Callithrix jacchus: one gene and its partners. The protein of the gene in region 5 interacts with the protein of the main gene of each other region in a pairwise test. Links are inferred from orthologs where the notes say so. Each region holds a gene or a part of one and is shown on either strand. Other genes may lie near its edges. The genes, in order: FOSL2, VTN, CERCAM, RNF183, GOPC, MYOCD and HCK.

Region 1 (3,500 bases), on a different chromosome or scaffold from region 5:
CTGGAGATGGTGCACTGGGAAGCACCAGGGTAGGGAAGTTCTGTATTGCACTTTGTCCCCTTCTGGACAAGTCAGCCCCAGCAGAAGAGTCACCTGCTGCCCCGTCTCCAGAAATGAAGAGCTTTAATATTCAGACCACCCAGATGAAATGTCATGGCAAATCTGATAAAAACCAAGAGGGACTGAAACTGACACTAGGGAGGGAAGGGGCAGGTCGAGGAAAGTGAAACCAAAAGGCACTGAGCATGCGTGGTGGGGCAGGGAAGGACACCATCACTCCAGAGACAGTATGGTAACAAAGGGACAGGAATGGTCCAGGCCAGCTTCAGGCTCTTCAGAAGCCAGAGAGATGTCCAAGTCCACCAAACCAAGTTCTCCAAGGCTTTTCAAGAAACAGGATTTGCTTGCAAGATGAATGAGGGAGGAGGTCCCATGGCTTCCAAGAGATCAACCCAAGTCTTCCAATACTCACTGCCAAGTCCCACCTGGATCCCCCAAAGCCAGGAAGCTCCCTGGCAGGTCCCCCTCTTGCTCTCACAGCCCTGGAGCGCTTGAAGGTGCTGGTCCCTGGGAAGGAGGAGCGAGGAGGACCCCCTCCCAAGCTGGGGAGGAAGGTGAGCTGGGTTACAGAGCCAGCAGAGTGGGGGAGTTCAAGGAGTCTGATGACTGGTCCCCACTGCTACTGCTTCTGCGGTGAGCCTTGGAGCAGGACTCAGAGGGCGATGCAGGCGACTCCTGCTCCAGGACGCTAGGGTAAGTGAAGACGAGGTTTGAGGTGCCTGGAGTGACAGCAGGCGTGGAGGTCACCACGATGGGGGTGTGCAGGGGCTCTTCACCATAGAAGCCCCCAGCAATGCTGATGGGCTTGATGACAGAGCGCTGGGCCTTGTCCAGCCCCGCCGATGAGGACGAGGGGCTGTCCTCTTCCAGGGGCTCCTGCTTCACCACCACAGCGCCCACCGCACCACCCCCACTGCGCATGGGTGGCAGCCCGGGGGCTGGAGGCGATCGGCGCTCCTCGGGGCTGATCTTGCACACGGGGCCGTGAGCCACCAACATGAACTCCAGCTTCTCCTTCTCCTTCTGCAGCTCAGCGATCTCCTTCTGCAGGCCCGACTTCTCCTCCTCCAGCTCCTCTGTCTCCTGCCAGGGAAAGAGAGGGATGTGAGGAACAGCAACCTGCCAGGGACCCTGCTGGGGGGCAGTTCCAATCTAGGCAGGAAAGAGAATACCAGTAATGCCCTCAGACACTGTGAGAGCACAGGCTCACACACCTAACCACAGACCCCACTGGTCTGAGTCACCTGGAGGCTCAAGATTCCTTTAATTTCCAAAGAAGGAGAGTTAGCTTCGAGAGGGGGTGCGATAACAACTGCAGCTGCCATAACACAGCACCTACTGTGTGCGAGGCACTGGGTTAAGCATTTCATAGGTGATCTTATTCAATCTTCCAGCAGTTTTTGGAAGAAGATGTTACCATCACCCCATTTTGCAGAGGAAGAAAATGAGGTTCGAGGGGTTGTGCTAATTTTCCAAAGTCACAGAGCTAGCAGGTGGGGTAGCCCAGATCAGATTCCCATTGTATCTGACTCCAGAATCTATGTGCTACTACTATGTTCTACAGCCTTGGGGCCAGGACTGCCCCCTGGTACCCGAGGGGTGAGTACGGCAGAGATCTGCATGGAGAAGGGGCACGGAACGCAGCTCTGTGCAGTCCTCGCCTTCTCTTCCTCCCAACCCCATGCCAGCCCAGCTGTTGATGGATCCACGCTAAGCCCAAGGCTGCAAGAGAGTGGAGGCTGTGTCACGCACATTCCTGTATCCCCGGTGCCTAGAACAGTGCCTGGCTTCTAATAAGTGCTCAGCATATCCCTATGGAATCATCACAGCCTCTTCTCCCTTTTTTTGGCTCCAATTTCTTTCTTTCTTTCTTTCCTTTCCTTTTCTTTTCTCTTCTCTTCTCTTCTCTTCTCTTCTCTTCTCTTCTCTTCTCTTCTCTTCTCTTTCTCTCTCTCTCTCTCTCTCTCTCTCTCTCTCTCTCTCTCTCTCTCTCTCTCTCTCTCTCTTCTTTCTTTCTTTCTTTTTTCCTTTTTTGAGACAGAGTCTCACTCTGTCTTGCCCAGGATGGAGTGTAGTGGCATAATCTTGCTCACTACAGCCTCTGCCTCCTGGGTTCAAGCTACTCTCCTGTCTCAGCCTTCATAGTAGCTGGGACTCCAGGCGCCCACCACTACATCTGGCTAGTTTTGTATTTTTAGTAGAGACAGGGCTTTACCACGTTGGCCAGGCTGATCTTGAACTCCTGACCTCAGGTGAGCCACCCACCTCAGCCTCCCAGAGTGCTGGGATTATAGACGTGAGCCACTACCCCCAGCCTTTCGCTCTACTTTCTTAAGCACATATTTCAGGACTCCCAGAACCCTCAGAGAACATGCGGTTCAGCCACCATGCTTGACACAGAAGTAACGTGACAGCCTGAGAGGGCCTGTGAGGACACCAGGGTCACCCCGCAAGGACCTCACCCCACTTCTTTCATCCCCAGCCAGAGAAGCAGAAGCGAGCAAGTGCACATGGAGGGGCCTATGTGGGAGGGGAGAGGGTGTGTGTCAGCAGCCTCCCCCTGTTTTCCCTAACATGGATGCCTGTTCATCAGTGAGGAGATACAGACAAGGGCTTCATTAAGCAGAGTACAGCATATTCCGGAGTGAAAAAAAGTTTCCGTCTGTCTCAAGGGTCTGATGAACGTCATGAGCTTATGAGAGGCTTCCTGTGGAGGATGTGGCTCAGGGGCCTGGGTGGCTGGGCCAGAGGGCGGGGGAGGCAGGGGAGTGGGGTGTGAGGCTTCTAGGAGGAGAGGAAGAAATGAGAGGGGCCTCGGGGGGCAGGACTATTCTCAGGCGGGTGGTAAGGAGCGCCACATGGGGCACAGCTCCTTGAAGTGCCAACCAGAGAAAAGGTAGTGGTGGGAGGGCTGGCTGAGGCAGTGTACTGTGGATCTGCCTTGCCTGGGTATAAAGAATTCCCACTCATCCTCCCCGGCTCTCACACCTCCGAGGGACATTACTACAGGCATCACAGAATTCATGCAATTCAATTCATTCAACACCCCAGCGTGAGGGCTGCAGTACAGAAAGAGAAGCCTAGGCTGGTAGATGGTGCCTGGGAACATTAACTAAAGTGAGGGATGGGCCGGCTGCAGTGGCTCACACCTGTGATCCCAGCACTTTGGGAGGCCAAGGTGGGTGGATCACCTGAGGACGGGCAGATGATCTGAGGTCAGGAGTTTGAGACCAGCCTGGCCAATAGGTGAAACCCTGTCTCTACTAAAAATACAAAAATTAGCCAGGCATGGTGGTAGGCACCTGTAATCCCAGCTAGTTGGGAGGTTGAGGAAGGAGAATCACTTGAACCCAGGAGGCAGAGGTTGCAGTGAGCTGAGATCATGCCACTGTACCCCAGCCTGGGTGACGAGAACAAAACTCATCTCAAAAAAATTATAA
Region 2 (4,096 bases), on a different chromosome or scaffold from region 5:
GCCTCTGGGTCCCGCAGGGCTCCTCCCACTGCCTGGGCAGCCCCACCCCCAAGCCGCCCCAGTCACAGCCACGCCCACGCCCCGGCCAACCTCCCCCAGCCCCTCAGTAGCAGCCGCCTCTCTCTGCGCTGGACTTGGACTAAGGGGGTGGAGAGTGAGAGGACGGTCTCAGTTCTCCCCCCGCCCCCTGTGACACCGGTACGTGGGAGCAACTCCGCTGTGTGCCCCCTCCCTACTAAATGGTTAAAGCAATCATCATAACTCTTAAGACCCTTTTATGCCTGTTTCTCAGCGAAACCTCATAACATGCCTATCAGGTGGGGATTGGTGTCCATTCCACAGATGACGGGACTGAAGCCCATGGTGAAGAGATTGGCCAAAATCAAAATTCCCTCTGATTACAGAACAGAAAACGTCAGCTAAAATCTTAGCATCACTTCCTTCAGGTGATGGGAGGGCTTCAGAAGTTCTGTGGATACCTTAAATTGGGCACAAAGTTAGGTGTTTTGTGCCAGAGGGCACTTTCCAGGTAGAGGGATCATATTTCTCTTGAGAGCCTAAAAGTGTGCTGAACAAGCCCACTCTTTACAGATGGGGAGACTGAGGCTGGGGACAGGGAGTGGCCTGCTCAGAATAAGTGAAAAGACTCAGAAATCAAATCCAGTCCAGAGGGTTGATATTTACCCAAATTTCCAGCCTGGGGAGATTGATGCACCCAAGAGAAGAACCCAGAAATAAAACTTTGTTCTTTTATGCTAAAAAAGAAAATTCCCCAGGGTGCTTACAATTTCTCCTCCCACTCCCTTATTCTGCCCTAAATAAACAATAGCAAATGAACACCCAACCAGGGATGTGTCTGATCAAACAATCATGGATCAATAGCCGTTTTTGGAGAAGGAATTTGTGGCTGCTCCAGCTACTGGGCATTTTGTCTGCTCTAGTTTATGTAGTCTCCCGACACCCCATGAGGCAAGGCTTTGTTTGTCCCACTTTACTGAAATGAACTAAGACTCAGAGAGATAAAGCTGTTGCCCAGTGATCCTTCTTTCTGCCCTCCAGACCCACTGTGCTAATTCCCTCTTCTGATGACCTAATGATTCTCAGCTTGGCAAAGGTCTTATCTCCCAGCTCTCCCAGACCCAGTGTTTCAGGAATGTGACCCTTAGCTGCAGCAGCTGCCGGAGGAGGGCAGAGGGGGATGGGCTGGAGGTTGAGCAAACAGAGAGGCAGAAAAGGCATTTCCTCTTCTCCAGTCCCCTCCCTCCCTGTCTCTGCCTCTCCCTCCCTTCCTCAGGCATCAGAGCAGAGACCTCAGGGAGATCAGAGCCCAGCTCGCCAGCCACTGAGCTAGAAGCCCCGTCATGGCACCCCTGAGACCCCTTCTCATGCTGGCCCTGCTGGCATGGGTTGCTCTGGCTGACCAAGGTACAGGAGGGTGTTGGCGGCTGTCTGAATCTATGTAGGGTGGGCGAGGGTGGCCCGGGCTTGGTGGCACCGACTGACACCCCTTTCTCATAGACTCCTGCAAGTATCGCTGCACCGAGGGCTTCAACCCCGACAAGAAGTGTCAGTGTGACGAGCTCTGCTCTTACTACCAGAGCTGCTGCATGGACTATATGACTGAGTGCAAGCCCCAAGGTGTGTTCAGAGCCCAGGCGGGTAGGCTGGGGTCCTCCCTGCAGCTGGAGACTCACTATCCTCCACTCTCTCTGCAGTGACTCGTGGGGATGTGTTTGTCATGCCGGAGGATGAGTACGGGGTCAGTGACTATGATGAGGAGAACAAAAACACCACCACCACGCATCCACAGCCAGGAGGGCCCTCCATGACCCATGACCTCCAGGCCCAGCCTGAAGGGCATCCTGAGCACCCACCTGTTATGACCTCAAGCCTTGATACCCTTGATCAAGGGGCCTCTGAGACCCTAGCAGAGGAGGAGCTGTGCAGCGGGAAACCCTTTGATGCCTTCACTGACCTCAAAAACGGTTCCCTCTTTGCCTTCCGAGGTGATTCCAAGGGCAGGTCTTGGGGATGGGGGTCTGCCCCACGAGCATCCCCACTCTCACACCACCTCCTCCATTCTAGGGCAATACTGCTATGAACTGGATGAAAAGGCAGTAAGGCCTGGATACCCCAAGCTCATCCGAGATGTCTGGGGCATTGAGGGCCCCATCGATGCCGCCTTCACCCGCATCAACTGTCAGGGGAAGACCTACCTCTTCAAGGTGCCAGGGGCTGTGGGTCAAGGTAGAAAGCATGTAGGGAGGGTTTGAGAGCTATTGCTCCCAGACCTGGGCCCTGCAGGACCTTGTGGGGGCTCTGTGAGCACAGGGCAGTCCCAAGACTCCAGGTCCTGGGCAGAGAACCTGGAGCTGGGAACGGCTGCCTCAGGGCAAAAGACTCTGCCTCGTGCCCAGTCAGCACCCTGCATACCTCCTTTCACCTTCCCTCCCTCTTAGGGTAGTCAGTACTGGCGCTTTGAGGATGGTGTCCTGGACCCTGGTTACCCCCGAAATATCTCTGACGGCTTTGATGGCATTCCGGACAACGTGGATGCAGCCTTGGCCCTCCCTGCCCATAGTTACAGTGGCCGGGAGCAGGTCTACTTCTTCAAAGGTACCCAGGGGGCGGGTGGGAGCCTGGGCAGGTTTCAGAGCAGTCTCAGATTCCTTTCACACTTCACTGGGGACAGGCCTCAGCGTGTGCCCAACCCCTACCCCACCTCATGGTGGGAGCTCCTAACTTCAACAGCCTCTGGGACCTCCAGTCTTGCTCTGGCCCAGCCCTCCTAATGCCCACCACCCCACTCCTCAGGGAAACAGTACTGGGAGTACCAGTTCCAGCACCAGCCCAGTCGGGAGGAATGTGAAGGCAGCTCCCTGTCGGCAGTGTTTGAGCAGTTTGCCATGATGCAGCGGGACAGCTGGGAGGACATCTTCGAGCTTCTCTTCTGGGGTAGAAGCTCTGGTATGGAGAGGGGGCAAGTCTTGCTTCTCCCTCAAAAGGGCTGGAACCCCTGTGTAGCGGTAGAGCCAGGCTGGCTGGAGGGGCTGTGGTTGTGGAGCTATCGATCAAAGGCTATTTGCTCAGGCTAGACTTTGCTTCTGTTGACCTTCTGGGGGAAACTCAGCTCCACCTGGACTCCACACCTTGGACTTTGCCTAGCACAGCTGAGGGTACAGCCAGCAGAGGAGGGGCTGTGGCTGAGGAGTTTAGGGGGCCTAGGGTCGAGACACTATGGAGAGGGTGCAGGGGGAAGGGCATTGGACGGAGAATTAAAGGCCTGGCTGCTGGGCTCTGCCATTAGCTGCTGTGTGTCTTTGGGCAAGGTGCAGCAGATGAATTCTAATGGCCCTGCTGGAGGGGCCAAGACTCAGACCCCCAAGACCTCTCATTCACCCCTTCCCTGCCACAGCTGGTACCAGACAACCCCAGTTCATCAGCCAGGAGTGGCACGGTGTGCCAGAGCAAGTGGACGCAGCCATGGCTGGCCACATCTACGTCTCAGGCATAGCACCCCGCCCCTCCTTGGCCAAGAAGCAAAAGTTTAAGCATCGCAACCGCAAAGGCTACCGTTCACGCCGAGGTCGTAGCCGTGGCCAACAGCAGAACTCCCGCCGGCCATCCCGAGCTACTTGGCTGTCCTTATTCTCCAGTGATGAAAGTGACTTGGGAATCAACTCTTATGATGGGATGGACTGGCTTGTGCCTGCCACCTGTGAACCCATCCAGACTGTCTTCTTCTTCTCTGGAGGTAGGAGCCCCTGCCACCCCCGAGGCTGGTCTAGCTTGGGTCTTCCTTGCTGTCCCGGGTCCACAGGGGCTGAATACAGGCTGCAGGTAGTGATCACAGAAAGCCAGGCCAGGAGTCCTTAACTGCATGGTGGATATTTACTTTTCCTTCTGGAAGATACCCTAGACTTTCTTCTCAAAGAAAGAGTGGGCAGGAACTGGCTGGGCCTCACACACCCTCTGCTTTCTTCTCTTCCAGACAAGTACTACCGAGTCAACCTTCGCACACGGCGAGTGGACACTGTGGACCCTCCCTACCCACGCTCCATCGCTCAGTACTGGCTGGGCTGCCCAGCTCCTGGCC
Region 3 (4,097 bases), on a different chromosome or scaffold from region 5:
TGGCAGGGTGGGGGGGTGGGGGAAGCTGTCAGTGCATCATTCTCTGGAGGAATCCTGCAAGCCCTCCCAAATGGGTGATGTTGTCAGCCCCATTTGGGGAAAGTGACCTGTCTCGGGTTGGTTGTGGACGCCCAGCTCCATCCCATTTGTGGTGCCACCAGGCCTCTCCCTTTTCTGCTCCTCTCCGGAGAGGCTGGAGAGTCCTTTCCCTCCCAGCAGGGTCCTAAGGACACTGGCGGTGCCCCAGGGGAGCCAACATCCCCTGCTTTGGAGGGCGGCTAGGTCGCTGTGAGCAGCTCCGTGGTGTCCCCTTGTTCTACACTCAGACTAAGAGAGGGCTGTGTGTTTTGTTTGTTTGTTTCTTTTTGAGACGATGTCTCGTTCTGTCACCCAGGCTGGAGCACAGTGGCACGATCTCGGCTCACTGCAACCTCCGCCTCCCAGGTTCAAGCTATTCTCCTGCCTCAGCCTCCAGAGTGGCTCGGGTTACAGTCGTGCGCCACCACACCCGGCTAATTTTTGTATTTTTAGTAAAGATGGGGGTTTCACCATGTTGACCAGGCTGGTCCTGAACTTCCGACCGCAGGTGATTCGCCCGCCTCGGCCTCCTAAGTGCTGGGATTACAGGCGTGAACCACCGCGCCCAGCCCGGCTGTGCTCTTAAAGGGCCGGAGCAATGCTGGTGCTGGCGACCGAGGCGAGGAGGTGATGCGCAGGGGACTTCAGTCGCAGAACGCCGCGGGAGTACAAACCCAGGTCGGAGGATCCCTCCGCGCCCCCCACGCAGGTATCGATCTCGGGCCCTGGCGTGGCCCGATTGGTCTGAGGAGCTGGCGCCGGGGCCGCCAGAGGGCGCCCGGGGTGAGGGGGAGGAGGGGACGCGAGCCGGGGAAGCCCAGGGAGGGCGCCGCCCTGCGGGGGTCTGCAGCTCTGGTCCGAGGGTCGGCTGCATGGGTCGGGGAATCTGGATTCCGTGGGTTCAACGCCCAGGGGTTCCAAGAGCCCCGACAGTTCTCGGACGCCCGGCAGGCTCCGACGCACTCGGCCCAGCACCCCTCCCCCGTCACCGTCCTCGGGCCCCTCCCCGGTCGCCTCTCCGGGCGGGGCTGCTCCCGGGTCAAGGCTGGCGCGGGTCTTCGGGCCCTGGCCCTCCGGTGCCCCAGGCCGAGGACAGAAAACTTGAGCATCCACACGCAGGGGTAGAGAGTGGGGGCCACTCTGGGGGTGCACTGCCCCGCCCCCTCTGGGTCCGCCTCGGCCCCACCCGGGCCTCAGGCCCCGCCCCCTCCCCTCGGCCGGAGAGCCCCGGGGGCCGCTGCAGCCGCCAGAGTGCCCGCCATGCGCGCTGCCCCCGCTGCGCGGCTGCTCAAGCTGCTGCTCCTGCTGGGGTCGTGGCTGGAGGCTCCGGGTGTTGCGGAGTCACCGCTGCCCGCTGTGGTCCTTGCCATCCTGGCCCGCAATGCCGAGCACTCACTGCCCCACTACCTGGGCGCGCTGGAGCGGCTGGACTACCCTAGGGCCAGGCTGGCCCTCTGGTGAGAGACCCGGGCATTGGCACCCAGTGGGCACCTAACCCCCAGCCTTGCAGGCGGCCCCTGCCCCTGGTGGCCCTCTCCCCTCACTCGCTGCCTAGTCACCACCCAGACAGGCCTCTCCCCTCACAGACGGCCCTGCCAGCCGGAGGCCCCAGCCGGGACCCCAAAGCGCCTGCTGGGTGACGACAGACCTCTGAGGCCACAGGCTGACGAGGGATACCCACTCCTCCTTCTGGTCCCCTACTCCTTCCTCTTGGGGCCTTCCCAAGGGTAGATTGGGCCCAGCCAGCCCTTTTCACCCCAGCCTAAAGAGCCCAACCCAACCTTGGTGGGACCTGTGGCTGGCTGGATTTGGAGAGGAGCAGACAGGAACCTCTGAAGTCCCCTGGGGCCCAACGTGGCAGGGATAGGCCAGGCTGGAGGCTTTAGGACACAGGTGGGGGGTGAAATCAGCACTGGGCTCCGGACTGTGCAGGGGAGTCTGTTCAGCTCCCCCTCCCTCAGGGCTGAGGCCAGCTGTCTTGGTAGAGGGGCGGGGTCCAGTCAGCCAAGAGCCCCCCTCACTGGAGCCTCTCCCCTCTGGCACCTCTGTACCCACAGGGCAATGGGATAGGAGGCCACGACCCCTAGTCTGTAGACACCAGAACAGGGGGGAGTCCCTGCCCGAGGTTGGGGGTAAACAGAAAAATGACAAGCCACCCTTTACAACACACCACACAGGGCTGGGGGGGTGGAGCCCTGGCCTGGGGAGGCCGCCCACAATTACCACAGTTTGGGAGTTAGTTAGTTCCCACCCCTGTAAGACTTGACACGTAATCTTCATTTCTGGGGAACTGGCTTAAAGGGGCAGCATCACCCAAAACCTGGGATCTTGGCTAAGCACCCCTCTGTTATGGGAGCCCCTTCCCCAGGAGAGGGGAGGCTGTGCCCCATGACAACAGAGCTTGGGCCTAGCTGCATTCTCAGGGATGCTCAGAGCAGGATTTGGTCCTTATTACAACTCGGGGGTGGAGGAAAGCAGCAGCTCTTTGTCTAGTTCCCATTCAGAGAGGGACAGGGGCTGGCCTGTTGTCACACAGCCACAAGTCACACAGGTAGGTACCTGCCCACCTAACAAATGTAATCAGGGAATGCAGCAGGTGTGATGCTTAAAGTTGAGGTACTTTTCATCTTTCAAAATGCATTTGTGGGCTGGGCATAGGGGCTCACTCCTGTAGTTCCAGCACTTTGGGAGGCAGAGGTGGGCAGGTCACCTGAGGTCAGGAGTTCGAGGCTAGCCTGGCCAACATGGTGAAGCCCTGCTAAACACACAAAAATTAGCTGGGCATGGTGGCAGACACCTGTAATCTCAGCTACTCAGAAGGATGAGGTAGGAGAATCGCTTGAACCTGGGAGGCGGAGGCTATAGTGAGCTGAGATCGCGCCACTGTGCTCCAGCCTGGGTGACAGAACGAGACTTCATCTCAAAAAAAAAAAAATGCATTAGTCTTCTCTGTTTTGGCCTATGACATAAGGGGGACAGATTAAGTTATAGAGGGAGGATGTGAAGCCCGGAGAAAGATGGGACTTGCCTGAGGTAACACAGTAGGTCACAGAACTGTGTTGGGGACCTGGCTGGGCTGCCTCCAGCGCCTCTGCTGTAGCACACCCAGCCTTCACTGTTCCAAGGAGAGCCCGGCCTCAAAGGTGTGGGTGCTTCGGGGTTAAGGCTGCCTTGGGGTTCAATCGTTCTGTTGCTGTGCCGCCTCAGCCTCCTTTTTTCTTCCCATCCCCAGGTATGCCACGGACCACAATGTGGACAACACCACAGAGATGCTGCAGGAGTGGCTGGCGGCTGTGGGTGATGACTATGCCACTGTGGTCTGGAGGCCCGAGGGGGAGCCCAGGTGCTGATCTGAGGGGAAGGGTGCTGGGGAAGATGGAGAACAGCTGCAGCCTGGAGAGGAAAAGGGACAGCCCAGTGCCACAGCCTCCAAGCCAGGGCTCGGTCCACTGCCCTGCAGAGAGAGAGGGGCATAGACCCCATGGGAACATCTCACCTCTCTACCCCCTCAGGTCCTACCCAGACGAAGAGGGTCCCAAGCACTGGACCAAAGAAAGGCACCAGTTTCTGATGGAGTTGAAGCAGGAAGCCCTAACCTTTGCCAGGGACTGGGGGGCTGACTATATACTGGTAAGGAAGTCTGGCTAGAATTGGGCTACTGAAAGGTGGTAGTTTCTGTCCCTGATAGAAATATGGGTGCAGGCTGGTTGCAGTGGCTCATATCTGTAATCCTAGCACTTTGGGAGGCCAAGGCAGGTGGATCTTGAGGTCAGGAGTTCGAGACTAGCCTGACCAACATGGTGAAAACCTGTCTCTACTAAAAATACAAAAATTAGCTGGGCATGGTGGTGCCCACCTGTAATCCCAGCTCCTTGGGAGGCTGAGGCAGGAGAATTGCTTGAACCCGGGAGGTGAAGGTTGCAGTGAGCCAAGATCGAGCCACTGCAATGCAGCCTGGGCAACAGAGCAAGATTGTCTCAGAAAAAAAAAACAAAAAAAACAATAATTAGTTGGGCGTC
Region 4 (4,210 bases), on a different chromosome or scaffold from region 5:
GAGAAAGTTTTCACTATGAAATCAAACCATTCACGTGCTCAACCATGTAAATATATAACCTATTTAAAAATCAAATTTGGACATGGTGACTCAAGTGTAATCCTAGCACTTTTGGTAGGTGGATTGCTGGAGCCCAGGAGTTTTGAGACCAGCCTAGGCAATGTGGAGAAACCCCATCTCTACAAGAAATACAAAAATTAGCCAGCCACAGTGGCATGCACCTGTAGTCTCAGGTACTCAGGAGGCAGAGGTGGGAGAATTGCTTAAGCCCAGGAGGTTGAGGCTGCAGTGAGCTGTGATCATGCCACTGCATTCCAGCCTGGATGACAGAGTGAGACTGTCTCAAAATAAATAAATACATAAAAATTAATGTAAAAAAACACAAAATGAGGAAACTGGGGCTTTTGATTACATCACCAAGCAGATACGTTTATTTACTTATTTCTTTCTCAAGCACTACTGAATATGTCAGTAAAGAAATAAGGGACCAGACATGGTGGCTCACGCCTGTAATCCCAGCACTTCTGGGAGGTCAAGGTGGGCAGATCACCTAAGGTCAGGAGTTCGAGACCATTCTGGCCAACATGGTGAAACCCCGTCTCTACTAAAAATATAAAAATTAGCCGAGCATGGTGTTGGGTGCCTGTAGTCCCAGCTACTCCAGAGGCTGAGGCAGGAGAATCGCTAGAACTCTGGAGGTGGAGGTTGCAGTGTATCAGTATCACTCCACTGTATTCCAGCCTTGGTAACAGAGCAAGACCATGTCAAAGAAAGAGAGATAGAGAGAGAAGAGAGGAGAAGAGAAGAGAGAAAAGAAGAGGACCATAGGTACAAACAGAATTTGAGTGGGAACAAAAGATGGGCCATGTGAACAGACTGGTCATATAACAATAATTGTTCTGGTTAACATTTACTGTATTACTGTGTGCCAGGCACTGTGTTATTATATGACCCCGATCACCTTGTTAATCTGCAGATTGAGTAGGTAGGTGATTATGGCCGTTTTCAGGTGAGGAAACTGAGGCTGGCAGAAGTTAACTGATTTTCTCAAGTCTCCATCGCTAGTTAAGTGGAGTTTGGACTCTCAGTGAGTACTGAATTCTGACCTAGAAGTATGCCTGGCTTGAGAACACTGGCTCTTCGGGTAGATGCTCAACTGCCTCTCTCCGACTATTTTTTCTGCTGTATTAATGGCCACTGTTGTTAGAGCCGTTTGTATTTTGGTTGCAGGGGCTCAGCAGGAAGAAGGATCCATCTGGGCAGAAGCCAGGAGTTGAGGCGGGTCAGCCACAGAGGGCAAGTGGAACCGGAGGGGATGGCAGGAGATCAACCCATCCAGAACAGAGGCCTGCAAGGATGAGTGCACTTCAACCCCCTCGGAGCAAAAGCCAGAGTGACTCACAGGAGGAAGACAAAGCAAGCAAAGCCTCCAGGGTGTGCAGGGAGTCCAAAGTCACCAGAAGGAAGAAGAAAACCTGAAACAGCCAGAGCTGGCCAAGCCTGCTAGGACCTATGCAAATGAGACCCACCCATGCTGCCTGGAAATCGGGCCTGGGAATTCAGAAAACAAAGCTCATGTGTGCAGGGCTGCAGGGACGGGTGGAGGAGGCTTCGGCTCTGAGGGAGCAGGTAAGGAGCCAGAGAGGGTCGCAGAGGGACGGGTCACCCAGGCCCCAGAGTCCTGAGAGAAAGAAGTGCGCAGCAGGTAAACTCTGGCCTGGGACGGAGGGCTCCTGGGTTCATCTTTCATCTCAGCTGCTCTTTAGCTGGGAAGCCTTTGGCAAGTCGCCTCACCCTTCTGAGCCTTGACTTCCCCATCTAGAAAATGGATCTAAAAATAATCATGCTAGGTCTGTATTGAGCACCTTCTGTATTCTACTGGGCACCTTATAGACTCTTCCTTCCACAGAGCAACTCTGGAGGAGTGGGATTATTAGCCTTTTTTACAGAGGAAAATGAAGTTCAGAGAGGTTAAGCCATTTGTCCAAGACAAATCGTTCCAAATCTGGTTCCAAAGCCGGCATGCTTTTGACTCCCCACTCAGCCTCTCTCACAGGGTGGTTTTAGAGTATCAAACGGCCTTCTGCAAACACAACAAAAAAAATCCTAAAAGGCAAGTAACCTATCAAATGGATCATCATGCTTAGATTTTAGCAAGGGCTAAACTATGAAGTGCTATGAAAATGCCAGTTCTTGGCTGAAAACATTGGAGTGACGCTAGGGACAATTGATATTTGGTGATGACTTGTTCTTAGACCAGGGAGATGACTTTGGGGCAGTGTTTAGGATTTACTGTAGCTGAGATGTCCTGACGTGGGGTGGGGTTGGTGCATGGCCAGAGCCTCTCCCCAGCTGATCCTGAAACAACAGATGATCCCTGGGGGAGCAGCACAGATAAAGGCCCAGGGAATAATGATCCTTCCTCCTCTTGGACAGCCCTTTACAGCTCTGGCTGTGGAACTTCAGAGAATGTAGATCTGATGTGGGGGGAAACAGGAGATCTTTACTTGTAGTAATACAAGCTTACCGGAGTAAAGCTAGAATTTTCAGGTAAAATTAAAAATAAAAAACCAACGTTTAATCTTGCCCCAGAGGTAACCACTGCTAATATTTAGTTGTTTATGTTTCCAGACATGTTTTCCTATGGTGCACACGGTTTTGAAAATTGGATTATATTGTAATATGGTTTTGTTGCTGGTTCTTTTTGCCTGATGACATTATATCCGAGGCATATATCCATATTAATAGTTTTATCACATCATTTTAAAGGGTGCATAATGTCGCTTTCTATGGATGGAGCAGAATCTACCTAATCAATGTCCTATTACTGGATGATGAAGTAGTTCTCTGTAGGTCACTGTTAAATCAGGGCCTCGATGGGATTCTCTGTAATCACGTCTTTGCAGAAGTCCTTGATGATTTCCATGGAATCCATTCCCAGTGAGGGAATTGATGAGTTGGGGCTACATATAGTTTAAGGCTTCCGATAAGTATTAAAGGTCTGTTTCTGCCACACTCTGGAATTCAGGGGCTCCTCAAAACTTGATGCAGAAAATTTTGTCATGGCTTTGAAGTCAACCTTGACCCTTCCTCTCTCTCAAATCTATTTACATTAATAATTCCAGCTGCCTCATATCCATAACAATGTTTTGGTCAACAACAGACTACATATATGATGGTGGCCACATAAGATCATAATACCATATATTTACTGTGCCTCTTCTAAGTTTATGTTGAAATACACAAATACTTTCCATTGTGTTACAATTGCCTACAGTATTCAGAACACAATATGCTGTATGGGTTTGTAGCGTAGGGGCAATAGGCTAGACCATACTGCCTAGGTAGATGCTACCATCTAGGTTTGTGTAAATATGCTCTGTGATATTAATACAATGATGCATTTCTCTGAACATATTCCCATTGTTAGGTGATGCATTGTTGGCTTTTTTTTTTTTTTTTTGAGGTGGAGTTTTGCTCTTGTTGCCCAGGCTGGGGTGAAACGGCACCTCCCAGGTTCAAGTCATTCTCCTGCCTCAGCCTCCCGAGTAGCTGGGGTTACAGGCACCCGCCAGCATGCCCAGCTAATTTTTTGTATTTTTAGTAGAGACGGGGTTTCTCCATGTTGCCCAGGCTGGTCTCAAACTCCCAACCTTGGGTGACGCACCTGCCTCAGCCTCCCAAAGTGCTGGGATTACAGGCATGAGCCACTGTGCCCAGCCAGTTCATCACTTTGTAGTCCTTACTGGGTGCTGGGCTCTAACTAAAAGCTTTACTAGTTTTGGCTTCCTTTTCATATGGAAAAAATAGAGGCACAGAGAAGTCAAGCAATTCAACTGGAATCACAGCCCTAAAAAAGCCATGGATCTGTTCTCATGAACCTTGACAATCGTGTTCCAGAAACTACAGTCTCGATCCTAAGAACTCCACTGCTTCTTGGGAAGTGGCTTTGGTTCTGTTCCCAAAGATATCACTTACCTGATCCCCTTTTATCTTCTCCACTACCACCTGACCTGCACCAGCACCACCATCGCACATCCGACAGAGCCCAAGTGGGTCTTCCCTTCCCACGCTTGTCCTCTCAGTCTGTCCTCTGCTCTGTAGCTAGAATGGTGTTTTAAAAATGGAAATAGGGGCCAGGCGCAGTGGCTCACACCTGTAATCCCAGCACTGTGGGAGGCTGAGGTGGGTAGATCACGAGGTCAGGAGT
Region 5 (3,500 bases):
TTCCAGGCCAGGCACAGTGGCTCATGCCTGTAATCCCAGCACTTTGGGACACCAAGGCAGGCAGATTACCTGAGGTCAGGAGTGCGAGACCAGCCTGACCAACATCAAGAAACTCCATCTCTACTAAAAATACAAAATTAGCCAGGCATGGTGGCGCATGCCTGTAATCCCAGCTACTCAGGAGGTGGAAGCAGGAAAATTACTAGAACCCGGGAGGCGGAGGTTGTAGTGAGCCAAGATTGCACCATCACACTCCAACCTGGGCAATAAAAGTGAAACTCCATCTCAAAAAGAAAAAAAATAAGGATTTCCAAATTCTTTGTGGGGAGGCTTAGGGGTGGAGAGATCTCAGAGATAGGTCATATCCAGAAAACAAATAATGAAATTCTAGACTCTAAAGAGGTAGTGAGGTCATCATGTCTAGATCAGCCCCGTGAATCCTCTCTACAGGTCCTTTACACATTATAGTAGCTCTTTCTACTGACCATAATCTTTTTGTTAATAGGTCTAAAATATAAAAGGATGCTTAATTATTAAATTTATAGAATTTTAGAACAAGAATTCAGTTTAAAAGTTATTTTGCCATGTTGTAATGCACACAGAAATTCAGCAAATACATCTAAATAGTCAGATATTAAATAAGGAAATCATAAAAACTTTCCTTAACTGATTCAGGAAATGAATTTTCTACAAAATGATTTTTTGTTTTTTATTCAATAATAGTAATTATTATATTTATATATTTAATTATAGCTTTCAATCCTTAGAATAATCCTGCTATAGTCTCTTTTACATGAATGAGAAACCTGAGTGAGTCTGGAGAAAGCAGATAACCTTCCCTATATAATAAACAAGAATAAAGAAAAATAAAAGTTTGACTGTACAGTCCTTGCTCTTTGTATTATGTCAGAATAATTGTGTAATATTTATACTGTCATTCTTTAACAATGACACATTCAAATAAAAAGTTACATATCATGCCAGGCACAGTGGCTTACGCCTGTAATCCCAGCACTTTGGGAGGCTGAGGCAGGTGGATCACTTGAGCTCAGGAGTTCTAGACCAGCCTGCGCAACATGGCAAAACCCAACTCTACAAAAAAAAATTAGCTGGGCATGGTGGCATGCACCTGTAGTCTTAGCTACTTGGCGGGCTGAGGGCGAAGAATCTGTTTGAGCCTGGGAGGTTGAGCCTGCAGTGATCCATGACTGTGCCACTGCACTTCAGCCTGAGTGACAGAGTGAGACCCAGCTCTAAAAAATAAAAAATAAAAAAAGGTACAGAACATTTTATGTTAAAAAAAAATTCGAAGCTATAATTGTCATTTAATAAGACTCCAACCACTACATACAAGTGTGGTGTTAGCAACTCTGAAAATTATGGCTTGCCTTTGCTCAAAAGAAAGCATGCTATGTTTAACTGCTACTCACTAAGTTAGTCTCTTTGGTGCTCTTCTTTCCCAGCAGTTTAAGGTTATACCTCAGAATTTAGTATGTGCTTAGTTAGCATTTCCTTAAAACTATGACTGCCTATTGCTAGCTCCTTCACCAGTCATCCCACTCTTTTGCTACTGGATGACAGTCAAGATGGGCTGATAAAACACTAACTTGAGAGAATGGGGTAGCACTCTTGATCTCTTTTATCAGAGAGATAAAATACCATTTTGCAGAAAGAGACAGACAATGCAGTGGTCTTCAGCAAAGTTTTAGATGACAGAATTAGATCTGTGGGTAGCTGTCATGGAGACAGAGATTTCAGGCTTAATATGAGAAAAAGCTTTCTAAAAATCAGTCCTGTATAACAATGGAATGGACTGCTTGATATCAGCAAGTCCTTCCTTTAATATAATCATTGAAGTAGTGATGTTGCGAAGATTTAGGCATCATATAGGATTGAACCAATGAACTATATTCACTTTCAACTCTGAGATTCAATTCTACAGAGGCATACCACACTGATGATCCAAAAAACATCTCAATGTACTACCAATGCCTCTAATTCCCTCAACTCTATTCTTGAAAGAAATAAACAAAACAACATTTTAAGTACAAATGTATGACAAATATGACTCCTGAATATGAATCTTAATTCTATAATTTATTTGCTCGGCAACTTGGAGGGAATCCTTTCATCTCTAAGAACTTTAGTTTACTCATTTTAAGAAAGACAGTTGGGCTAGATAGTTTCTATGGATAATTTCAATTTTAAAATTCTATGACTAAAATCAATCCACTTCTAGCATTGTCTTTTCTGTAATACCTTATATATAGTGTTTTAGGCATTAAGGATGATTTTCTCGGTCTCAGGTCCTGTTCTGAGTCCTTTATATGTATTAACATATTTAATCCTCACAGCTTTCTTTCAATCCCTCCCACACAGGGGAGGACACTGTGGGAGAGAGGACTTAAGTAACCTGCTCAAAGTTATGAAGTAAACAAAATGTCCATTTTCAGTAAATACGACTGAATGTCATTTATAAAAGCATTAAATCAAAGGAAACAAGATCTAGGTATAAATATTTTACTGCTTTAGAAACTTCATAGGGAAGTATACAGTGTTCAATAGATTTATAAAGAAGTAACTGATAGATCCAATTCTAATTATATTAAGGGAATTTACCTGCTGGGAAAGAATGGTTACAGCTTCTTTATGCTTTGTGTCCCTTAGGTTAACTCCATTGACTGCCAAAATAGCATCCCCAACATGCAGCCCTCCACATCTATCAGCAGGTTGCCCCGGATGGATCTCAGAGATGAGGATTGGAACACCATGTTCTTTCCCACCCTAAAACAATAATAAAAGGCAGTAAATTAAAGCATTCTTTGTATAGTCACTGATTAATCTGGAGATAAACTATTTTCTTAAAAATCTTTCATTAAGCACCTATGCTGTCTCTATAAATGTTGGGTAAAATTTTATTTTCTACGTAAGTAATGGTAAAAAAAATTATTACCAAAGAGTAAATTGGCTAAATTCTGAAATTAAAAAAATTTACGTTAGTACTCCATAGCACCATTATATTTTATCAAGTCTGAATCATCACCAATGACAAGACCAATTATTTTAGGTGCCACAAAAATAATTTTAAGATTATACAATTAATTTCAATTTCAGAGAAGTTAAAATATAAAAATATATGCAATGTAGAATTGAAGAAATACAGTACTTGGTACCTATCATTCTCTAGCTTGTATCTTTGATACACACACACACACGGGGTGTGTGTGTGTGTGTGTGTATCTTATTTGTCCTGCTAAAATGTATGCTCTTTGAAGGCAGCTCATTAAAAAAGGTAAGTGGTCAAGACATATAGATTAGATGAGCCTTTTATTATAAGGAACATTTCTACATTAAGCAGTACCAAAAAAATGAATGAACTTGCTCAGTGCCTAAGTATTACACCAAATGAAAATTAAAGCCACCTTGTTCATTAAAGCACTGAGATTACAATATAATGACTCCTAAAGGCATCAAATTTAAAAAAGGAATTATAATATTTA
Region 6 (4,126 bases), on a different chromosome or scaffold from region 5:
GGAAGCAAGTTGAGGCACGGAGAATTATGTAATTTACCTAACGTTTAAGGTCATGCAGCTAATGAGTAGAGATTACTATTAAAAACCCAGCGAGTCTGGCCCTGAGACCCATGCTTTTCAAATGAGTTTGTATCACCAAACATGTTCATACAGGTAAACTTTCAGAGTTTACTGCTGCTGTAGCATGATTTTGTCCTTAATCAAGAGGTCACTCAACTACAGCTTATAGAAAGTTGATCGGACATGGCTGACATCAATGATTTCAGAGTAAAAGCAGTTATCTGCTCACTTATAAACAACCCTGTCACAGTGAGTCTGTTGCTGTAATCAGAGAACAATTTCATTGCATTTATTTAATGGAATACATAATACCATGATCTACTATCAAAGCAAATATTCGCAGTGAGATCGAATCAGTTTTATGAGTTTACATTTGAATTGCTTATGAAAGATGAGGAGGAGAAGATGATGAAGGAGAAGGGAAAATAGTGAAAGAGAGCGAGAAATCAAAATAAAGTCGAGGCACTTATTCATTGTTAGCCACAAAATAAACGGCGTTCTCTTAAAGAGAGACCCTACTGTCAGCACGCTGTCACCTCAATGCTGGCCCAGCCAGAGTAGTAATTACATCCGGAAAGAATAACTACCATTGAAACATTACGTTTCTAAGTCTTACATTCCACTTGTTTTTTCTCCTGTCTGTCAAGAGACGATCAACGCTTGCATCTCAGACTCCAGATTCCCTGTTTATCAGTGATGGGAGGATAAAAGACGCCTGCTTCTGCTTTGATATCATGTTTTCCCAAATCCACCCTTCCTTTTGACACAAAAGCCTGCATAACTTTCTTAAAAAGTGAGGCTGGAATTCTCTGAAGCTCCAGGATCAGGGTTTTCAGGGTCTATTTAGGAGACACCAGGACTCCCCAAATCCACTGAAATGGAAGTTGGGAGTGGTGCAAACGTTGCCTTTCCTCTCCACTGCACTTCAGCTGAAGGAGGGATCGATAGGTGTTTTGCAAGTCTACTATCAAGTACATCACCAAATCCTTTTAGAGACAAACCAGCACGCCCAGACCCTCTACATTTCAACTGGCAAGGAAGCATTTGAAGTGAATGCAGCTTCATACAAAACGAATCTACATCCTCTCTTCTTCAGAAAGGTGGCAGTGTTGCCTTGCAGTTTCGACCAAATACAAAGCAGCGGCGCGGTCCCTAGCTAATTAACAGATCAACCGCCTCACCTCACCACGGAAAGGCAGGACGTAATCCACTACCGACCCCGGTGGCTGGTAGACTCATCCCAGAGCGTCAGGGGCAGCGAGGCTTGTGACCGCCTAAGCTCCTGAGTTTTCAACTTGCGTCAACGGTGAAGATCCTAAGAAAATCTCCAGTTGACCCCACAGGCATCTACAAACCAAGGGCATCTAAGAAAGTCACAGATGAACCTTACCTCCTAGCAGCTACATTTTTCCTTTTTGAAACATCCATCCCACGTGAAACAATTGCGTTGGCCCCATGTAAAGGGCTACGAAAGCTTAGCAAACCATGCCTGTATCTTTCTGACACCTGTTATGTCAATATTCGCATCAGAGTTCTCCTAAAAGTAACCAATCTAAGTAGACGTTCTACATTATTGTGTTGTTAACCAGTTTTCTAAAACCAACATTATACACAGAGTTACCGAAAAATAACTTCAGAAGTCAAGTGTTGATTTGTCTAAACGTGGAGACCCACACGGACACCTTCCATGGGCACGTGCACAAACCCTTCTTGAGAAGCAGCTAGAGCTCCCGTCTCTCCCTTCCACTCACCTCCACTCAGCGTCCTTTGAGAAGTTTCTCCATGTGCCACTAACACAGAAATTTCGGGGAAATTCTCCATTTATAAATATCAGATGGTTTGGGAAAAAATATTTGTGGCACTGGGCTTTCTTTTTTTTTTTCTACAGTGATGTCATTTTAAATACTTGGTGTGCTCCAAATTTGCTATTTTTACTTCCTCCAAGTGACTTTTTTTGGGAAATACTTTGTTTGGATTAGCTACATTTTAAATGACCCTGTACCTAACACACAAACATCAGGTTCATCTTCTCAGCGATCATAACTGATACTACGCAGCGTCCAAGCTTGAAATCCCTTATTCGTTCGTCTCCAAAGTTGCCCCTTCTCAATGTACCCCTCCAAGATTTCTATTCACAGATACAGAGAAAATAAAATAGAAGGATTGACCTTTTCACAGAAGAACAACCACACTCTACTACCCAAAAGCACTTACAACGGAAGACACAAAAGGCCCCCAAAAAGTCAAATAAAATTCTTTGCTTCCACAATGTGCTTTTGGGGAACAGAGTTGAGGTAGACCTGGCAGGCTTGGAAACATTTATTGGAAAGCAGTTCTAGAGTTGAGAATGGCAGAAAAGGAAAGTTCAAGAAGGAATGCTAAATGCCCTACCTGATCTGAACTTGCTCCTAATCAGCAAGGAATGCTCAGACCCCAGAAGTGTCATGTTGAGGCTCAGCAAGCCGCGGGTCCCTTTGCCAGGCGCCCCCTGTTCTCCACCAGCAACAGGCTCCCGGGAGCCCAGCTGACCGCAGCTAACAACCCAGAATTCATCCAACTCGCCGTGAGCTCCCCTGGGTAGGAGTACAGTGGCAGCCAGTGTCCCCAGAAAACTGGCGCCTCCCCCCCTCGCCGTGCGGGGCTAATTAACTCTTAGCCGGCGGGACCCTCCTCCTCCTCGGAGGTTGGCTGGGGGCAGCGGCATCCCAGGCGATCCTGGCTGATGTCATAGGCTGCCGGCGATTGCGGAGAATCGCCACCACGCCTTTATGAAGGTCCCAACTTTGCCACCCGATACTCTTTACTACTGACAGGCGCTCAGCCAATCAGCAGCGGCGAGCGGGGCCCGGGGGACCCGGAGCCGCCGGAGCAGTCTCGGGAGCCGGCTCTTAACTCTTTGCAGCGGGCCCCGCGGCCTCCGGGGCGCAGAGGGCGGGAGCAGGGCCGGGGGTCGGGAATCCGCGAGAGGGGCCAGAGCTAAGGAACCGAGGCCCGGAGGAAAGTCAGAGGGGCTGCCACGCCGCGGGGCCTGCAGGTGGTGCGCGGGGCTGCGGCGGCGCGGGGAGCTCTGCGGGCCTGGGCATGGGCGTGCGCAGCCGGGGCTTCCCCGCCAGGGCTTCTGCCTGCCGGAGGGACGCGGTCGGGATCTCCCTCCAGCCGGCGGCAAAGGGCGTGAGCGCCCGCGGGACGGTTTGGAAATCAGCTGGACCCCTGAGAAGAAACGCCTCCGAAGGACCGAAGCCCACACCTTCCCCTCGGTTTGAGGGGCTCAGTGCACAGGCAGGGACGATTCTGTGTCTCGCAGCTCCAATACCGGACTTGGATGCATTTCCACGGGGAAAATGGAAAAGCTTGCATTTTTCTAGGATATGCTTTTTTGGGGGTAGGCTGGGGGATGTGACTCGGTGCATCTGGAGATCCAGCGGCGACTCAATGCTCCCACCTCCAAACCCGAGGGAATGGGGAAAGATACCTGAGTCTGAGTCAAAACCCTACTGGACTGTGAATAGGGAGGGGCTCTGGAGCAGAGGGCAAGCCAGAGCTCTGGTTGGGGTTAGCCTGGAAAGGCGCAAAAACTGCCTGCAAATGAGTCTTTCCATAGGCGAAAGTTAATTCCGTAACCGATCCAGAGTTATTGGAGCATCTTGCCGAGGTGTTCTAGGCACATGGATCAATGAAATAATACAAAGACCCAGCTCTCGAGAAGCTGGTTTAATAGTTGGTGGCTCAGAACATTAAAAAAAAACACACTCTATATACGTATATAATTAGGGTTGATTTGCAACCTCATGTGCACGTGGGTTCCCGGGTGTCGACTGTTACACACAAGCCTGCCTATGTCTTTACTACCAGTCCTTAAAAGATCACTCGGTTACCGATGGAGACCCGAGGTGACAATATAGCTCATGGGACAACCTCTAATGCCCTGAGTCCCGGCCTCTGCCCCATCCGTTGTTGCTGGAAACATATTACGGGGTTAGCCCTTGAGCTCAATCTCTGGATCTGAGCTGGTCTTTTTTGTAAATAAGGTCTTCAGGAATAGACACCTTCTTCCTGATGGGTCAGA
Region 7 (4,080 bases), on a different chromosome or scaffold from region 5:
AGTCCCTGGGTGACCCTTCCAGGCTTCAGTACTCCTCTCACACAAAGGGGAGGGTGACAGGTGCCCTCCCTGGGGAGCCATCCAGGCTTTTGATGTTTTTCTCAAGAAACATCTGTACGTAGGCCGAAGGCTACACATCCAGGATACTCCTGGCAATATTGCTTGCTGTAGTGCACGCCTAGAAACAACCTCAGTATTCATCCAGAGGAATGAGAATTAATATAGCGTGGTCACCTGCTGGGATATTCCACAGCAGCTGGAAGGAATGAATTAGGCCTCTATTTTCTATTTCTCATCCTGGATAGATTTTGACAACTTAATGATAAGAAGGGGGAAATATGCTCCTCTGCTATCCTCTTAGAATTGCAGAAAGCTCTCATAGTTAGATAGCATTTTTTTTTTTTTTTTTGAGATGGAGTTTTGCTCTTCTTGCTCAGGCTGGGGTGCAATAGCTCAATCTCGGCTCACTGCAACCTCTGCTTCCCAGGTATAAGCGATTCTACTGCCTCAGCCTCCCAAGTAGCTGGGATTACAGGCATGAGCAACTGCATAGATAGAATTTTTAAAGTACACAAAACAGTCCTACGTGTTGTTTATATGTATACATACACACACACAATCCTTTTTTTTCAAACAGAGTCTCACTCCATCGCCCAGGCTGGAGAGCAATGGTGTGATCTTGGCTCACTGCAACTTTTGCCTCCCAGGTTCAAGCGATTCTCTTGCCTCAGCCTCTGAGTGGCTGGGATTACAGGCGTGTGCCACCATGCCCAGCTAATTTTTGTATTTTTAGTAGCGGCAGGGTTTCACCATGTTGCCCAGGCTGGTCTTGAACTCCTGACCTTGTGATCCACCGGCCTCAGCCTCCCAAAGTGCTGGGATTACAGGCATGAGCCACTGTGCCTGGCCTACACAATACACTTTTAAAAGCACAACCTGGAAGGACTGTAATTCATGACAGCAGTTACCCCTAGGGAGGGAGGGAAACAGGACTGAGAGCCATACGAAGTGGGGAGACTTCAATATTTTCTGTTACTTTTAGTAAATTATTATTATTATTATTTTGGAGACAGTCTCCCTCTGTTGCCAGGCTGGAATGCAGTGGTGGGATCTGGGCTCCCTGCAAACTCCAACTCCCTAGTTTAAGTGATAGCGATTCTCCTGCCTCAGCCTCCTGAGTAGCTTGGATTATAAGGCACGCACCACCATGCCCAGCTAACTTTTTGTATTTTTAAATAGAGACGGGGTTTCACCACGTTGACCAGGATGGTCTCGATCTCTTGACCTCATGATCCATCCGCTTCGGCCTCCCAAAGTGCTGGGACTACAGGCATGAGCCACCGCGCCCGGCCCAGTACCTTTTATTTTTTAAAATAATCTCTCTCTGTTGCCCAGGGTGGAGTGCAATGGTGCAATCTTGGCTCACTGCAACCTCTGCCTCCCAGGTTCAAGTGATTCTCATGCCTCAGCTTCCCGAGTAGTTGGGATTACAGCTGCCCGCCACCATGCCTGGCTAATTTTTATACTTTTAGTAGAGGCGGGATTTCACCATGTTGGTCAGGCTGGTCTCAAACTCCTGACCTGAGGAGCTCTATCTGCCTCAGAGTCCCAAAAGGCTGGGGTTGCAGACATGGGTCACCCGGCCCGGGGTCTTCAGTACCCAATTAATCCTCTAAACAACCCTGTGAAGGAGGTGCTATTACTCTCCCCATCCTGCAGTAGTGAAAACGGAGGCAAAGGTCAAATCCTCCACCCCAGGCCCGACGGGCAGCTTGCGCCTAGAATCCGCCTCCCCTGACCACTAGCCTGTCTCTCACACGCCCCACCTCTCGCATACTCCAGTTTCTTGCAGCCTTGCAAGAAAGACTTCATAGCCCCGTTTTACAGATGAGGAAACGAATTCGGAGCGGGAGAATGACTCCTCCAACAAGGAGGAAAGTGACAGCTTTGGCCAGGAGGTTTGGGGGTTTGACCTGGACATGCTGTGGGAGGAGGGGCAGAGAGCCGACCAGCTGCAGCCGGCCTGGGTGTGGCTCGCACGTCACGCCTCCGCCCAGCTGCCCCCTTCCCCAAGCTGGCTGCCAACCCTGCGTGACCCGGCCCCCGCCGGGAACCGTAAGGGCCTTCCCCTCCCAGGCCCTGTGAAACCCCATCCCTTCCTTCTTGTTTTTTAAAATTTTTTATTTTTTTAAATAAATATGTATATATATATATATATATATATATATATATATATATATATATATATTTTTTTTTCCCCCCCTCAGAAGGGGAACCTGGACGACACAGAGAAGTGGTGGATAAAGTCACTGCACCGGCCAGAGCGTCCCCTCCCCCGGGCATCCAGCAGTCCGCAGCAGTGCCGCCCCTCACCTGGGCACCCTCCACTTGCTGTCGACCCTTCACGCCACAGGCTACCCGCGGCTCCCCCGACGCCCCCGTCTCCCCTTGCTGCCCCCCAGCAGCACTCACATCCAGCCCTGTTCGGGACCCTAGGCTCCCTCCGCCGGCTGGGACCCCTCGAGGGCCGGGTGTCCCCGGTCCCTTGTGCGTGGCACTTACCTGGGCGCCCGCTCCCCCTCTCGCGGGCAGCCCGGATCCTCGCAGCTCGAACGCCCCCCCAGCTCGGCAGTCCCCGGGGTTCCTGGGTGTCAGTGCCTGGAAACTGACTTTCTAGAACTAGAGGTGGGGGGCGGCGCTCCAAGGGGCTTTGGTGCCCCCGCGGGCTTTTCTCGCCCTGCACCGTCTAGGTCCCCTCCCACTCGCCTCTAAGCCTCTGATGTGCTCCCGGGCTGGTACCGGGGACGCGGTGGCGCCCGCAGGCCATCTGGGCGCCTTGGCCGCGCCCTGAGCTATGCTAACCCCGCCCCGCGTGTCCTAACGCCGCCCCGAAGACTCAGAAGCCAACCCGGGATCCTAACCCTCTCCTCTAGGGTCATAACCTCCGCCTCCTGCAAGCAGGATCCCAAACCTGCCACCAAGGAAAAATATAAAATAAAATTAACACCAACCATCGGAGGCTTCTAACGCGTCCACCAAGGATGCTAACGCCCCCTCCCCGCTCCACTCTCCCTCACACCTCCCCCAAGGCAGGTAATCCCACTGCCCAGCGTCCTACCCCGGTCTCCAACGGATCCAAATCCCGCCCCCAGGGATTCGAATCCTCCTGTCTAAAAACCCCAACACCTGCTCGCATGCTCCTAAGATCCGAACCCCGCCCGCCAAAGGATTTTAAACTTCCCTCCAAAGATTCTAATCCGCCCAACGAAAGGATTCGAACTCTCTCTTCAATGGATTCTAACCGTGCCTTAAAGATTTAAAACACTAACCCCAGGGCTCCTGCTCCTGCACGACCCCAACCTCCCTCCGCCTGAGAGTCTGAATGCCCAGGGGTCTATCCTGCCGGTCCAAAGATTCCAACCCTGACGTCCAGATCCTACCAAAGGATTCCTGCCACAGTCTTCCAGCCCCACCCTGGAAAGGTCTTACCCTACCCCGGAAATAATCATGATCCCTTTCTTCCACCACTCCAACCCCTGCCTTCTGGCCTGGCCCTCCCCAACGCCGCTGCCCGAGCCTTCTAGGCCCGTCTGTGGTCAGTGGTTTCCCTTCCTCAGGCCTACTCCATTCAGACTCCATGCAAAGTTCCTTTCTTGAAGGAACCACCCTGGCTTCTGGGCAGCTCAGAGGACTCCCAAGCTGGGGGAGGTGGTCGGGGAAGTGAGGAGTCCGGCTGGAGGGTGACTGGGGCCCTAAATGGATGAAATTGTGCCCAGCCCCAAGCAATGACAAAACGCACCCTCTCCTGGAAAAGACGGGGGCTATCACCCTAAATTCTGTCTAACGCACCTCCAAAATGTACAGGAATCCGACTGCATCTCTCTATTCCAGTTGCTACCAGCTGATCAGGGCCACCGTCATTTCTTCATTCGTTCATTTATTCATTCATTCATAATTCATTCAGCAATGTTGTGCTGGGGGCTGGGGAATGCAGGGCTTCTTGGCACTATTGACATTTGGGCCACGGGGCCTGTCCTGTGAATGACAGGATGTTGAACAGCATTCCTGGACTCTACCCGC

The links.
Region 1: the proteins of GOPC (region 5) and FOSL2 interact in a two-hybrid assay, tested with the Homo sapiens proteins (2 studies listed by BioGRID and IntAct). The two-hybrid records come from large-scale screens. The link is inferred for Callithrix jacchus from reciprocal best matches to the Homo sapiens genes GOPC and FOSL2.
Region 2: the proteins of GOPC (region 5) and VTN interact in binary tests that used the Homo sapiens proteins (3 or more experiments, as listed by UniProt). The two-hybrid records come from large-scale screens. The link is inferred for Callithrix jacchus from reciprocal best matches to the Homo sapiens genes GOPC and VTN.
Region 3: the proteins of GOPC (region 5) and CERCAM interact in a two-hybrid assay, tested with the Homo sapiens proteins (2 studies listed by BioGRID and IntAct). The two-hybrid records come from large-scale screens. The link is inferred for Callithrix jacchus from reciprocal best matches to the Homo sapiens genes GOPC and CERCAM.
Region 4: the proteins of GOPC (region 5) and RNF183 interact in binary tests that used the Homo sapiens proteins (3 or more experiments, as listed by UniProt). The two-hybrid records come from large-scale screens. The link is inferred for Callithrix jacchus from reciprocal best matches to the Homo sapiens genes GOPC and RNF183.
Region 6: the proteins of GOPC (region 5) and MYOCD interact in binary tests that used the Homo sapiens proteins (3 or more experiments, as listed by UniProt). The two-hybrid records come from large-scale screens. The link is inferred for Callithrix jacchus from reciprocal best matches to the Homo sapiens genes GOPC and MYOCD.
Region 7: the proteins of GOPC (region 5) and HCK interact in binary tests that used the Homo sapiens proteins (3 or more experiments, as listed by UniProt). The two-hybrid records come from large-scale screens. The link is inferred for Callithrix jacchus from reciprocal best matches to the Homo sapiens genes GOPC and HCK.

Annotation. Positions count from the first base shown.
Region 1 is NC_133515.1:86,636,675-86,640,174, forward strand, and holds part of FOSL2 (fos-related antigen 2), read right to left. Parts: intron 1,144-3,500; coding exon 625-1,143; 3' UTR 1-624.
Region 2 is NC_133506.1:105,233,004-105,237,099, forward strand, and holds the start of VTN (vitronectin), read left to right. Parts: upstream 1-1,296; 5' UTR 1,297-1,361; coding exon 1,362-1,425; intron 1,426-1,518; coding exon 1,519-1,638; intron 1,639-1,715; coding exon 1,716-2,006; intron 2,007-2,085; coding exon 2,086-2,225; intron 2,226-2,459; coding exon 2,460-2,616; intron 2,617-2,814; coding exon 2,815-2,967; intron 2,968-3,415; coding exon 3,416-3,754; intron 3,755-3,991; coding exon 3,992-4,096. UniProt on the Homo sapiens protein: Vitronectin is a cell adhesion and spreading factor found in serum and tissues. Vitronectin interact with glycosaminoglycans and proteoglycans. Is recognized by certain members of the integrin family and serves as a cell-to-substrate adhesion molecule.
Region 3 is NC_133502.1:177,025,254-177,029,350, forward strand, and holds the start of CERCAM (inactive glycosyltransferase 25 family member 3), read left to right. Parts: upstream 1-1,297; 5' UTR 1,298-1,338; coding exon 1,339-1,535; intron 1,536-3,310; coding exon 3,311-3,421; intron 3,422-3,590; coding exon 3,591-3,708; intron 3,709-4,097. UniProt on the Homo sapiens protein: Probable cell adhesion protein involved in leukocyte transmigration across the blood-brain barrier. Does not express any beta-galactosyltransferase activity in vitro.
Region 4 is NC_133502.1:161,615,265-161,619,474, reverse strand, and holds the start of RNF183 (E3 ubiquitin-protein ligase RNF183), read left to right. Parts: upstream 1-1,410; 5' UTR 1,411-1,629; intron 1,630-4,210. UniProt on the Homo sapiens protein: Acts as an E3 ubiquitin ligase catalyzing the covalent attachment of ubiquitin moieties onto substrate proteins. Triggers apoptosis in response to prolonged ER stress by mediating the polyubiquitination and subsequent proteasomal degradation of BCL2L1.
Region 5 is NC_133505.1:123,873,956-123,877,455, forward strand, and holds part of GOPC (Golgi-associated PDZ and coiled-coil motif-containing protein), read right to left. Parts: intron 2,785-3,500; coding exon 2,620-2,784; intron 1-2,619.
Region 6 is NC_133506.1:79,202,227-79,206,352, reverse strand, and holds the start of MYOCD (myocardin), read right to left. Parts: upstream 2,801-4,126; 5' UTR 2,507-2,800; coding exon 2,452-2,506; intron 1,858-2,451; exon of another isoform or gene 1,812-1,857; intron 1-1,811. UniProt on the Homo sapiens protein: Smooth muscle cells (SM) and cardiac muscle cells-specific transcriptional factor which uses the canonical single or multiple CArG boxes DNA sequence. Acts as a cofactor of serum response factor (SRF) with the potential to modulate SRF-target genes.
Region 7 is NC_133506.1:7,148,722-7,152,801, forward strand, and holds the start of HCK (tyrosine-protein kinase HCK), read right to left. Parts: upstream 2,801-4,080; 5' UTR 2,563-2,800; intron 850-2,562; coding exon of another isoform or gene 748-849; intron 1-747. Other genes in the region: uncharacterized protein C9orf85-like, read left to right, coding at 748-849. UniProt on the Homo sapiens protein: Non-receptor tyrosine-protein kinase found in hematopoietic cells that transmits signals from cell surface receptors and plays an important role in the regulation of innate immune responses, including neutrophil, monocyte, macrophage and mast cell functions, phagocytosis, cell survival and proliferation, cell adhesion and migration.